Elephas maximus indicus: one gene and its partners. The protein of the gene in region 2 interacts with the protein of the main gene of each other region in a pairwise test. Links are inferred from orthologs where the notes say so. Each region holds a gene or a part of one and is shown on either strand. Other genes may lie near its edges.

What was found.
Region 1: the proteins of CWF19L2 (region 2) and MAD1L1 interact in binary tests that used the Homo sapiens proteins (3 or more experiments, as listed by UniProt). The two-hybrid records come from large-scale screens. The link is inferred for Elephas maximus indicus from reciprocal best matches to the Homo sapiens genes CWF19L2 and MAD1L1.
Region 3: the proteins of CWF19L2 (region 2) and NAB2 interact in binary tests that used the Homo sapiens proteins (3 or more experiments, as listed by UniProt). The two-hybrid records come from large-scale screens. The link is inferred for Elephas maximus indicus from reciprocal best matches to the Homo sapiens genes CWF19L2 and NAB2.

Annotation. Positions count from the first base shown.
Region 1 is NC_064830.1:96,566,268-96,570,168, forward strand, and holds the start of MAD1L1 (mitotic spindle assembly checkpoint protein MAD1), read right to left. Parts: upstream 2,398-3,901; 5' UTR 2,323-2,397; intron 1-2,322. UniProt on the Homo sapiens protein: Component of the spindle-assembly checkpoint that prevents the onset of anaphase until all chromosomes are properly aligned at the metaphase plate.
Region 2 is NC_064825.1:12,388,592-12,392,492, reverse strand, and holds the start of CWF19L2 (CWF19-like protein 2), read right to left. Parts: upstream 2,749-3,901; 5' UTR 2,693-2,748; coding exon 2,600-2,692; intron 1-2,599.
Region 3 is NC_064822.1:117,002,407-117,006,307, forward strand, and holds the start of NAB2 (NGFI-A-binding protein 2), read left to right. Parts: upstream 1-898; 5' UTR 899-1,152; coding exon 1,153-1,235; intron 1,236-2,676; coding exon 2,677-3,550; intron 3,551-3,901. UniProt on the Homo sapiens protein: Acts as a transcriptional repressor for zinc finger transcription factors EGR1 and EGR2. Isoform 2 lacks repression ability.

The sequences.
Region 1 (3,901 bases), on a different chromosome or scaffold from region 2:
GTATCAGACATTTACTTAGCACCCAGACTTCTTGAGCCTCAGTTTCCTCATCTATAAACTTAAGATAATGAAACCAACTTTGTAAAGCTGTTAAGAAGATCACAGACAACTTGATTTTACTTAGGACATCGTGATCTTTACCATAGGCTGATGAATTTGGTCTTTTTACACACATTCTGGAAATAATGACACCGAGGCTTCAAAAAGTTATAAACTGAGATTGGAGCCCAGATGTGTCTGGCTCCAAAGGCCATGTGTGTCCACGAGCCAGTATGTGGTGGGGTGGAGAAACAACAGCAATCTGTGCTCACGGCCTCACACCTGGCAGAAGGTGAGGAATGCCTACAACCAACACCGTGTCCCCCTTAGGACAACAGCCTGCTCCCTCTCTTATTCCCCTTAAGCGTTAGATTGAAAAACACCTCCTGCCCTCAACTCCCAAAAAAGAAAGAAAGTGAAGAATCTTAGGTCCAACTCTGAATTCCCCATTTAACAGGAAGCTGGGCCTTGTACAAGTGGAGTCCTTGTCTTCTCAGGCCGTTGAGTCCACCCCTGTGAAAGGTAGCTGCTCTCTCCCACCTGTCTGTCACACTGTGAAGTCAAAATGGCTGGAGAAAACTGAATGAGCACTCCCACCGCTGTGGGCCTCACAGACAAAGGCCTAAAGGGCGGAAGGCAGCAGGGCACCTCTGAGAAGCCCAAATCCTTCCATTTGACAAGATTAGGCCAGAGCCATGCTTTTTCATGCCATGATGAAAAACTCAGCTAATATTCCTCTTCTTGGAATGCCATCTCTTAAAAGAACTGACATATGGAATACACTAGAATGAAAAGAACAGCTATATCAACTACCTAGAAAACGCTATCCTCCTTGTCCAAGAAACTGGAACCTTCCAGCCTCCTAACCCCTGAGCCTGAACTGTTCCCAGCAGAACCCTTGAGCTGGAAGTCAAGAGCACACTCTCAACTGCCCTCATCAAAACGGACAGCTATCGAAGCCTACAGAAATTACATGGACCCTCACCATCCCACAACACTACTTCACATAGCAAGTCACCACCCATTACACTAGTCTAAGTCGGCAGGAGTCCCTGTGTAGTGCAAAGGGTTAAGCACTCCACTAGCTGAAAAGTTGGTGGTTTGAACCCACCCAGAAGTGCCTCAGAAGACAGGTCTGGCGATCTGCTTTCAAAAGGTTATAGCCTAGAAAACCCTACAGAGCAGTTCTCTGCACAGGTGGGATCAGCGAGACTGAATGGACTCCACAGCAACTAACAAGTTGGCCACGGGCTTTTTCTGCTTTCTCCAAATGCATACTACATATGAGACACAAGTCCCTACTAGCTGCAGTCCCTGGGTGGTGCGAATGGTTAACACCCTAGGCTGCTAATGTAAAGATCAGAGATTCAAGTGCACCCAGAGGCATGTCAGAAGAAATGCCTGGTGATCTGCTTCCAAAAAATCAGCCACTGAAAACCCTACAGAGCACAGTTCTACTCTGACACACGTGGGGTCACCATGAGTTGGAGTCGACTTGACAGCAACCGGAATTGGTACTTTTCTACCAGCTAGGAGTGATGTGACCCATCTCTGACAACGGAAGCAATGCAACTGCCATGCTTTCCTCAGATGGAGAACTGGAGGTGAAGGTGCAGTCACCGCCAGAGAGCGGCCCTCAGGGAAGAGCATCCCTCTTTACTGGACTGTCCCTGAGGCCCCGAGCTTCCTAAGGACTGGCATCCCCAACACCGGCCAGGAAGCCCTCCCTCTGGCCCTCACGGTCCCCCGCTTGGCTCTGCTGACCAGCTGCTCAGTCCCAGCGGCTCTCTTAGGTCCAGCAGCCAAGCAGGGGGCGTGAGGAACTGACCACAAAGTCTGAAGCCGAAACAAGGACGAGGAGCGGCCAGGGGATGCTAGGGGTCAGTGGCGAGAGAACGTGGGGTGACGGGGGACGGCAGAGACCCTGCTAGATGGAAGGAAGGTGAGGAGAAGGAAAGGGAAAAGCCCGACCCCGCGGGAGAGAGGGATCTAGAGGGGGGCGGAGCCGCACCCCGGGGCGAGGAGGGGCAGGGCCTGGCTGGACTCCGCGGGGCAGGACCGAGGTCGGACCTCCACAGACGAGGGCAGGGCCGGGAGCACCGAGTCCTCAAAGAGGGGGGTCCTGGCCCAGGGCAAGGGAAGACGAGGGCCGGCTCGGACCTCCACAGGCGGCCGCAGTAGGAGCACCCGGGGTCACAGGGAGCGGGGTCCGGGCGGCGATCGCGCGGCAGGGACCGAGAGGGGCGGCCCGGCTCAGCACCGCGCCCCACGCTTAGCCCTCACCTGAGCCGCCTCACGCCGCCGCCGCCGCCGCTCGGATCTCCCTCCTCCGGCCGGGCCCGCGTCTCGCGAGAGGTGCGGCCGGTTCTCGCGAGACGCGACGGGACGCGCCCCGGGCAGCCAGGAGCACCGCGCTCGGCGGCTTCTGACCTCCTGCGGCTGCACCGGGTGCCGCCCGCCGCTCCGAGACCCCTCCCGGAGAGGGCTCAGAGCCGAAGAAGGGACACTGGAATATCGGAGTGCCTCCCAGCCACCCACCCACCCACCGCACGGTGGGCTTCAGCGGAGGCACAGCGCCTAGTACTGTAATGTGTGGAGTAGCAGCGCCACCGGTGGCCTCCTAGGGCCAAACTTTTTTGCCCTGTTGGTTCTAGCAAAGATTTTGTTACTACGATACTTGAATCAGTATTTGAGTTAATAGGTCTTTTCCTTTTCTCTGGACCGCCTGGGAAATACAAACTAGATATGCTTCCTAGGCTATCCATCTTCCCAGTGCCCTGTAGGCTCCTGGAGCGCAGGGACCTTGTCTAATCCTCCTCTTCTTCCAGAGTGCAGCATGTAATAAGGGGGTGAAAAAGACAAACCCCAACAGCCAACCCCCTGTTCAGCGCCGGCGCTGACCCTCGATTCTGTACTGGCTCATAGCATTATCCCATCGCTCCCTGAATTACAGCAACTTTGTGTTTTTATTAACATAGAGCCCTTCCCGGAGGACAGTTTGTCTGGCTTGTTCATAAATTTTCAGCCTCTCCTCCTTTTTTTTTTTTTTTTCCTCCACTGCCCTGTCCCAGACTTTTCTCTAAAGTGCTGTTCACAACGGGCTGCATCGATTTTCCAGAAGACAAAAGCCTTCCAAGTTTGTGTGCCTCCAGAAGGAAAGAGGTTGGGGGAAGGGTGTGCTGGAGGTAGGACACTGGGTCCTCTGGACTTAACTGATTGCAATCAAATTTTAAAAACTTGGCCTGCCGCTTCCTTCGGAGAGCTGGACCAGGCCCCAGGGCCCTGATGGGGACTCCTGGGTATCTATTCTTCTCCTTGCTGGTCCCTGGGATTTAATCTTCAATACAGTCAATGACTTCTACTTGAGGGATGAGCACACCTCCAGGAAATGGCTTTTAAGAAACCAGTTTTTAAAAAACTAAAGCATGGAAATCCCTTAAAATAATCCATGTATATTCTCTTATAGATATGCATCAAGTTCCTGGAAGAGTAAAATAAAATAAATGAACACACCACATCACTGCTTGCTTTGGCAATTACTTTTATGGTCTTTGGCGCCTGCAGGATTACACCAATATAGATTTCCAGCAGAAGCCAAGGCATACCCACCCCATGCATAAATACATACCAAATGTCTTCCCTAATTGCTCTGGGAACTCGTTCTGCTTGAAGAATGGATGCATTTTCAGATTATCCACCAGAGAGACGGAAATTCATCCCCAGGTTGAAATTTCAGACTTTTCTACATTACACTGTGTAGCCAAGATAACAACCTGTGCATTGTTCTCTTTAGAGCAAGGGTGGAAACCTGCTTCCCTGTAGGCTGTTCAGTCCTTAAGGCAGGGAAGCTACATAGAGGTGT
Region 2 (3,901 bases):
CTCTCCAACCCATTGTCCAGTCCAATCCATGTCTGAAGAGCTGGCTTCGGGAATGGCTCCTGTCCTGGGCCAATAGAAGATCTGGGTGCCATGATCACCCGGGTCCTTCTAGTCTCAGTCTTTTTATGAGAATTTGGGGTCTGCATCCCACTGCTCTTCTGCTCCCTCAGAGGTTCTCTGTTGTGTTCCCTGTCAGGGCAGTCATTGGATGTAGCCAGGCACCATCTAGTTCTTCAGGTCTCAGGATGATGTAGTCTATGGTTCATGTGGCCCCTTCTGTCTCTTAGGCTCGTAATCGCCTTGTGTCCTTGGTGTTCTTCATTCTCCTTTGATCCAGGTGGGTTGAGACCAATGAATGCATCTTAGATGGCTGCTTGCCAGCATTTAAGACTCCAGACACCACTCTTCAAAGTGGGATGCAGAATGTTTTCTTAATAGATTTTATTATGCCAATTGACTTAGATGTCCCCTGAAACCATGGTCCCCAGACCCCTGCCCCTGCTTCGCTGGCCTTCGAAGCATTCAGTTTACTCAGGAAACTTCTTTGCTTTTGGTTTAGTCCCATTGTGCTGACCTCCCCTGTATTGTGTGCTGTCTCTCCCTTCACCTGAAGTAGTTCTCATCTACTATCTAGTGAATGCCCCTCTCCCACCCTCCTCCCTCCCTCCCCCCTCTCGTAACTTTTTACAAAAGAACGTTTTCTTCTCAGTTTAAACTATTTCTCAAGTTCTTATAATAGTGGTTTTCTACAATATTTGTCCTTTTGCAACTGACTAATTTCACTCAGCATAATGCCTTCCAGGTTCCTCCATGTTGTATGTCTCACAGATTCCTCACTGTTCTTTACCGATGCGTAGTATTCCATTGCGTGAACATACCATAATTGATTTATCCATTCATGTGTTGATGGGCACCTTGGTTGCTTCCATGTTTTTGCTATTGTAAACAGTGCTGCAATAAACATGGGTGTACATATATCTGTTCGCGTAAAGGCTCTTATTTCTCTAGGACATAGTCCAAGGAGTGGGATTGCTGGATCGTATAGCAGTTCTATTTCTAGCTTTATAAGGAAGCGCCAAATCGATTTCCAAATCAACTACAATATTAAGGGAAGCATAGTCATGTTTTGCCTTATTTCCAAGTTTTGGATATTTTTTTCTTCAAATATCAAAGAGTAAACTGGAAGTTTTCTTCCAGCATTTGGGAGTGAGGATCATTTTATTCCTCACAGCAAAAGTAAGAAAACTCAAATAAAAATGAAAATGAATTACAATAAAAATTTTTAAAACCACTTAAGGAACTAATATGAATGGTAATGTTGCAAACAAATATCAGTTCTCAAGGTAATTCTAGTCTGTATGCAAATAAATGAGTAAATAATATTCATAGCTCCTGTTCAACAATGTAATCTTTTACTAATAGTCTTTTATCTTTTCCTAATAGTCATATCAGAACTATGTTACCACTTATTTTTCCACAAATAAATCTTTCTCCCTTACCCCACGATAATATTGAACAAGCTTCAGCAAATTACAGAAAACACTTACATTTGAATAGCATTAAGTAAACTCTTTCACAAGAATAAATAAGAGCAAATAAGGCTGAGTTTGCAGATAAGGGTTACAGAAACAATGAGGATTTAAAAGCATGCTTACAAACCCTACTTCCCTCGAAAAACTGCTTGAAAATACCAGAATCAAGGTTGAAGAATACTTACTATACATACATAATACTTATACTAAAGTCAGGGAGCAATACAGACCTTGCGCTTGTCTAAGACTAACTGCCTACTCTCCCACTTTAAGATCTGGCTGTAGTCATTATACCCTCTCATTCCTGCATCCTCTACCTTTCCTTCTGTACTGGATCCTTTCATTTGCATTTAAACTCGTTTAAAATTCTCCCATCATAAAACAAACAAAACCGTGTACTTTCACTTGTACCCTACCTTGCTCTCCAGCTATTAACTTTTCCCATTTGTTACCAAACATCTTGAATAGCTTGTTAGACAATTTAATAGAGTTTACTTGCTCCATTCTTTGTATCTTACCTCTATGCATCTCAGTCTAAATGAGGAATACAAAGTTTCTCAATCTTTTTCCAGGGACTAAATTTTCTGGGTCTCCACTGTCAACCCTTGTTTGGATCAGTAAAGGCTTGCAATGAGCCTGAAACTGATACCAAAAGGAAGACACGAGAATAAAATGGTCAAACACATTCTTTACAACTGTTCTTCAAAATGAAAATTTTAGTTTCAGATACAACATGAGCAAGGACTAAGGCTGTAAGGCACTACGGCAGAGTCCCTACAAGTGCGCAGTCCAGGAGACAGAAAAGACGGGATGATTTAAAAGGCAAGGAAACTCAGAGGAAAAGGAACAACGCTCCCTGAATACAGGGAAAGAACAAAGGAGCCAGCCAGAGCGTTTGGAAGGCGGGGAACAGCCAAGAGCTTGGGGGTATCCTCAAAAGAGACCCCACCCAGAAAAGGTAAGGTACTTAAGTGTGTGCCGGGATGAGGGAAGCTGGAGTGCCTAGCTGTCGGGAACCCTCCACTCCCACAACTTAAAGGGTTTCAAAAGCTCCAAAATAGACGTACCTGGCGCAACACTTCGGCCCTAGCAATCCGGGTCTGTTCTTTACGCTCTTCGATACTCTTCGCACTTTCAAATCTACCACTAGCAGCCGCCATAGTTGTTGCCGTCGTAAAGTTAGGAAGCCATCACGAAATCCTAATTTACGACTGTCGTAAATTAATAGACAAACCAGAATCTCCAACGAGGGGAAGGAGAGGCGCTGTTTCACCTACGGAGCATGCGCTGCTGTGAGGTGCGTAAACGTCAGAATTACAAGTTCCACGTTTTAGAGACGTGAAGACTAAGTGAAGTGTTACCCTCTGTTCGTGTACTGGATTCGCCCTGAGCAGGTTTAGTGTCAATATACGTTTGTTACGCTCTGTGCACTATACTGACGGCTTTCTCGTGTTTCCTCGAAAATCACCACTAAGTCAGAAGTTCATAGAGGTTAAATTAAAAAAAAAAAAAAAAAGTTGCTGTCCAGTCGATTCCAAATAATACCGACCCTACAGGATAGAGTAGAACCGTCCCATAGGGTTTCCAGGGAGCACCTAATAGATTCGAACTGCAGACCATCTTACGTTAGCAGCCGTAGCTCTTAACCACTAGCCACCAGGGTCTCCAATTAAGTACCCTTCTCGCGATAGGAGATTTCGGGTGCTGGGGGGAATGAGAAGAAAGAAGGCTGGCGGGGAAAGCAGAAGCAGGCAGGAAGGGCGAAATTGGTTTGATTCGGTATTTTGCTTTGGTTAATTTTTTTTTTTTTTAATATATGAAATAGTGATGTGATTTTGCATTGTACTTCACCCGTGCTTACTTTAATTTTTAGAAGTTTTTCATATTGGTCCCATCTTAATTGTTCATCTCATCCATCCAGGCTTTTTTCATTGCAACGTGCCGTTACCTGTGCGTGTGTTTTGTTGTTTTATGTTTGTCTCTCCCAAACATAAAAAATTTAAGTTCCATTTTGAAATAAAATCAAGTGCTTTGACAATACAAAGCACTGAGCTTACATTTTAATCATATACAAAGAAATCTGTAAAATATAAGCTAAATATCTTAAAGACACAAAATAATTAACATAAGTGGGGTTGAGGTAAATATTCTTTCTTTTCAGGTTTCATAAAATTGCATTTGTTTGCAAGAAGCTTTCCCCAGAGTTTGTTTTACCATTTAGTGAAAATCTTAACCTTGAGCATGTGGTTTACTTGTTTGATATACAAAATAAAATTTACTCATTGTATTTTTGCTACAGAAGATTGAATTTTAATTTACTAATTGACCTTGTAATATTTAACCCACTGACCGTGACATACTAATGTTGT
Region 3 (3,901 bases), on a different chromosome or scaffold from region 2:
GGTGTCCCAGAAGGGTATCTTCTTATCCCAGCTTTGCCACACGGACATTCTCAAGGAACAGTTCTACTACCACAGCAAGCAGCATACCCCCTGCCTGACCTAAGCGCTAACAAACCCTGACGCGTCTAATGAAAGAGAACCTATGTGGTGACCTCCTGTTCCTGTTTTCCCAAACTTCGGCAACAAGGGAGGCAGGGATGGAGGAGGCCTGGGTTTCCGATAGCAGTCTCCCCAGATTACTCCTTTTAGGACTGGGGAATGGCACCGGAATACCTAAGGGATTCCTCCAGAGCAAGCCCTACGCTCACAGATCTGCCTTACGTTCAAACCCTATGGTAGTCAGATGCACGCACCAGCAGAGCTGCGCACAATTTTCCGCCAACTTTGGCCGGCTCGCTCCTAACATTCACACATACGGCACCACGACGCCCTCGCAGTGTGGGCCGCGGGCGTCCGCGTAGTTGTCTCAGTGCCTTTACCCGTCCGTGCGCTTCTGTTGTCTTTGTGTACTTGCGCGCGGTTGTGAAACTCCGCTCTCAGCTCAGAGGAGTAAAGGTGGTGGGGGTGTAGGAATGTCGCCGGCGGGGCGCTCACGTGGACACGTGGGTGCGGAGAAGGCTGGCTGTGCATCCGGGGTGGGCGGCACGGAGCGACCTCGCCCCGCCCGCTGGGTCCCCAAGCCCGCCTTCCACAGCTCGGCCTCAGTCACCTCGATCTCCAACTTGGCACCCCGGCTCCCAGTCACCGCCCCCGCCTCCTGTTTCACACCCCCTCCCCGCAATCTCCGCCTCTCTCCATCTCTCCGCCGAGGCCTCTCCGCGGCGGACAGACCTGGACTCCCGCCCCCCGCCCCCGGCCTCCGCCCCGGCACTGCCCACGCCCTCTGCCCGCCCAGCAGCCTGCGCAGCGCCGGGCCTCGCTCCCCGTGCGTCCTGCGGGGGCGGAGGAGCGGAGAGGCGGCAAGCGCAGCCGGGGAGGGGGGGGGCAGAGGCACAGACAGAGGCGCGGAGGCTCGGAGAGAGGAGACGTGGAGGGAGGGACGGAGCCTGGACAGCTACGGACACGGTATCGCGCACCGGGAAGAGCGCAGCGCGCACCAGGTGCTGAGCGCTGAGCACCGAGAGGGGCAGCCCGGGTGGTCTCTTGCCGTCCATGCACAGAGCGCCCTCCCCCACTGCCGAGCAGCCGCTGGGCGGAGGGGACAGCGCCCACCGGACCCCGCAGCCCAGACTCAAGTTAGTGGGCAAAGGGAAGCGTCGGGGAATGGAGATGGGTGGAGTCGGACTTCGGAATGGGGTCCGGGGGGGCAGGGGTCTGGGAGAGAACAAGGGAAGCGGGATGGGGGTGGGGGGGTGGAGACTGATGGGAGAGGGGGTGAGTTTTCGAATTAGGGGACCCTGGGGCAGCAGGGATTTGATGAGCTGAATGTGAAAGAGTAGTACCTGGCTCCTCCTCACCCGTTTACTCTGTGAGCATGATCTGGCAGGGATCTGGAGGCATTGTGAGCTCCCCACAAAGAACGTGGGAGCCCCCAAGCACCAGGGGAAGCCCTTGGAGCTGGAGGCAAGAGTGTCGCGGGAGGGCCGCTGGCTGGCTCAATCTGGCGTTGGCACGGAGTGCGCGGGGCCCCGGGGTCCGGGAGAAGCCAGCGCCTTTGGGCCAAGAGAGCATCTTTAGGGCACTGGGGAAGCAGAGGAATGTGTTAAGCCTGTTTTTCCTTTTCAGTCTTTCTAGTTACAGCAGTGCGGGGGGGGGGGGGAGTGTAGAAGAGCTGATGTGCAGCCCCTCCCGCCTTGAGCCGCTCCTCCACTCCACTTGAAGATGTGGGTGGGAAATGAAGGAGTGGAAAGTAGGCGGGAGTCTCCGGGCGGTTTTCGCCCACAGACCCTACCACTGTGGGAGTGTGTGTGGGCGGAAGGGCCCCAAAGCAGAACAATTGAGGCATTCCCCCCCCCCCCCATCAAGGGACAGGCCTAGCTAGCAAGTGGGGAAGGTCACTGCTAGGAGAGGGGCCAACTGAGGGGCACTGGGTAGCTTGGGGGGGAGGGTAGGTCCTAGAAGGGTGCTTTAAGAAGACCATCTAAGCCCTGGGAGAGGAACATGGGTCCCCTGGCTCATTAGTTGAAAAGGGCGGGGAAGGGGCCACACCCCTCCCTCTCATCCACCTGGGCAGCATGTCATGTGGGTGTGGAGCTAGCCAGCAGGGTTCCCACTGTCCATGTGGGATGAAAAGGTGGGCCTTCACCTTAGAGTGAGATGTCATCTTGGGTAATGTTGAGATTTTTGAGTATTTAGAGTTCAAGGTGAAATCTGCATTCTGGGAGAGAGGGAGGTCCAGCCACCTCAGGGCTGGGCTGGCAGGTTTCAGTGCTCCTTGCACCAGGCCTGCAGGATAAAAGCTGAAGGCAGAGGCTGAGTCTTTGACTCCTGTAAAGACTGGGCATTGGCTTTGTGTACTTCTGGCCACTCTGGGATGGCACTGGCATGCTTGTATTTCTGAGCAGTGAGTGTCTTGATTCTCATGGTCTGTGTTTAGGCTTGGGCACTGGGCAGATAGAGCGTTTAAGAGAAGGGAAGAAAAGCAGGCAGCCAAGAGAAGACAGTTGTGGGGATGGGCTGGTACCCAACAAGGGACTTGGATCCACTGTCTCTCTCTCTTGTGCACCTCCTTCTCAGGCCCAGTGCCCGAGCAATGGCACTGCCTCGGACGCTGGGGGAGCTGCAGCTGTACCGGGTCCTGCAGCGTGCCAATCTCCTTTCCTACTACGAGACCTTCATCCAGCAGGGAGGGGACGACGTGCAGCAGCTGTGTGAGGCGGGGGAGGAGGAGTTCCTGGAGATCATGGCACTCGTGGGCATGGCCACTAAGCCCCTTCATGTCCGGCGCCTGCAGAAGGCACTGAGAGAGTGGGCCACAAATCCAGGGCTCTTCAGCCAGCCAGTGCCTGCCGTACCCGTCTCCAGCATCCCCCTGTTCAAGATCTCTGAGACTGCGGGTACCCGGAAAGGGAACATGAGCAATGGGCATGGCAGCCCAGGGGAAAAGGCGGGTAGTGCCCGCAGTTTTAGCCCCAAAAGCCCCCTGGAACTTGGGGAGAAGCTGTCACCACTGTCAGGGGGACCTGGGGCAGGGGATCCCCGGATCTGGCCAGGTCGGAGCACTCCAGAGTCGGATGTTGGGGCAGGAGGAGAAGAGGAGGCTGGCTCACCCCCCTTCTCCCCACCTGCAGGGGGAGGAGTCCCTGAGGGAACTGGGGCTGGGGGACTAGCAGTAGGTGGGACTGGGGGTGGTCCAGACCGACTGGAGCCAGAAATGGTTCGCATGGTGGTAGAGAGTGTGGAGAGAATCTTCCGGAGCTTCCCAAGGGGGGATGCTGGGGAGGTAACCTCCCTGCTAAAGCTGAATAAGAAGCTGGCACGGAGCGTGGGGCACATCTTTGAGATGGATGATAGTGACAGCCAGAAAGAAGAGGAGATTCGCAAGTACAGCATCATCTATGGCCGCTTTGACTCCAAGCGGCGAGAGGGCAAGCAACTCAGCCTGCATGAGGTGAGGACCTTGCCTCCCAAAATTGCCCTTGGCTCCTGGGCCTCACCCCCTCACCTCTGTGAATCCTAGCGTTTTCTCAGTCTATGTCGTTACTGCTTGGTCTGAACTCCAGGCCACAATCTCCTATTCCACATACCTTGACCCCAGCTGCTGCAGCACTTCCATCCCTAACTGAGAAGAAAGCAGAGAGAGAAACCAGGACCAGTTGTCCGGCTTAGGGTCGCTCGGGACCCCATAGATAGGAAGGAGGCCCCAGACATTCCTAGGAAGCTGGGGGTGTTAGCTCTTGTCTCCTTCCCTAAGAAAGCTTCTGTGTAGCTTCAAAACCAAAACAAGCCTGTGGTGGATAGG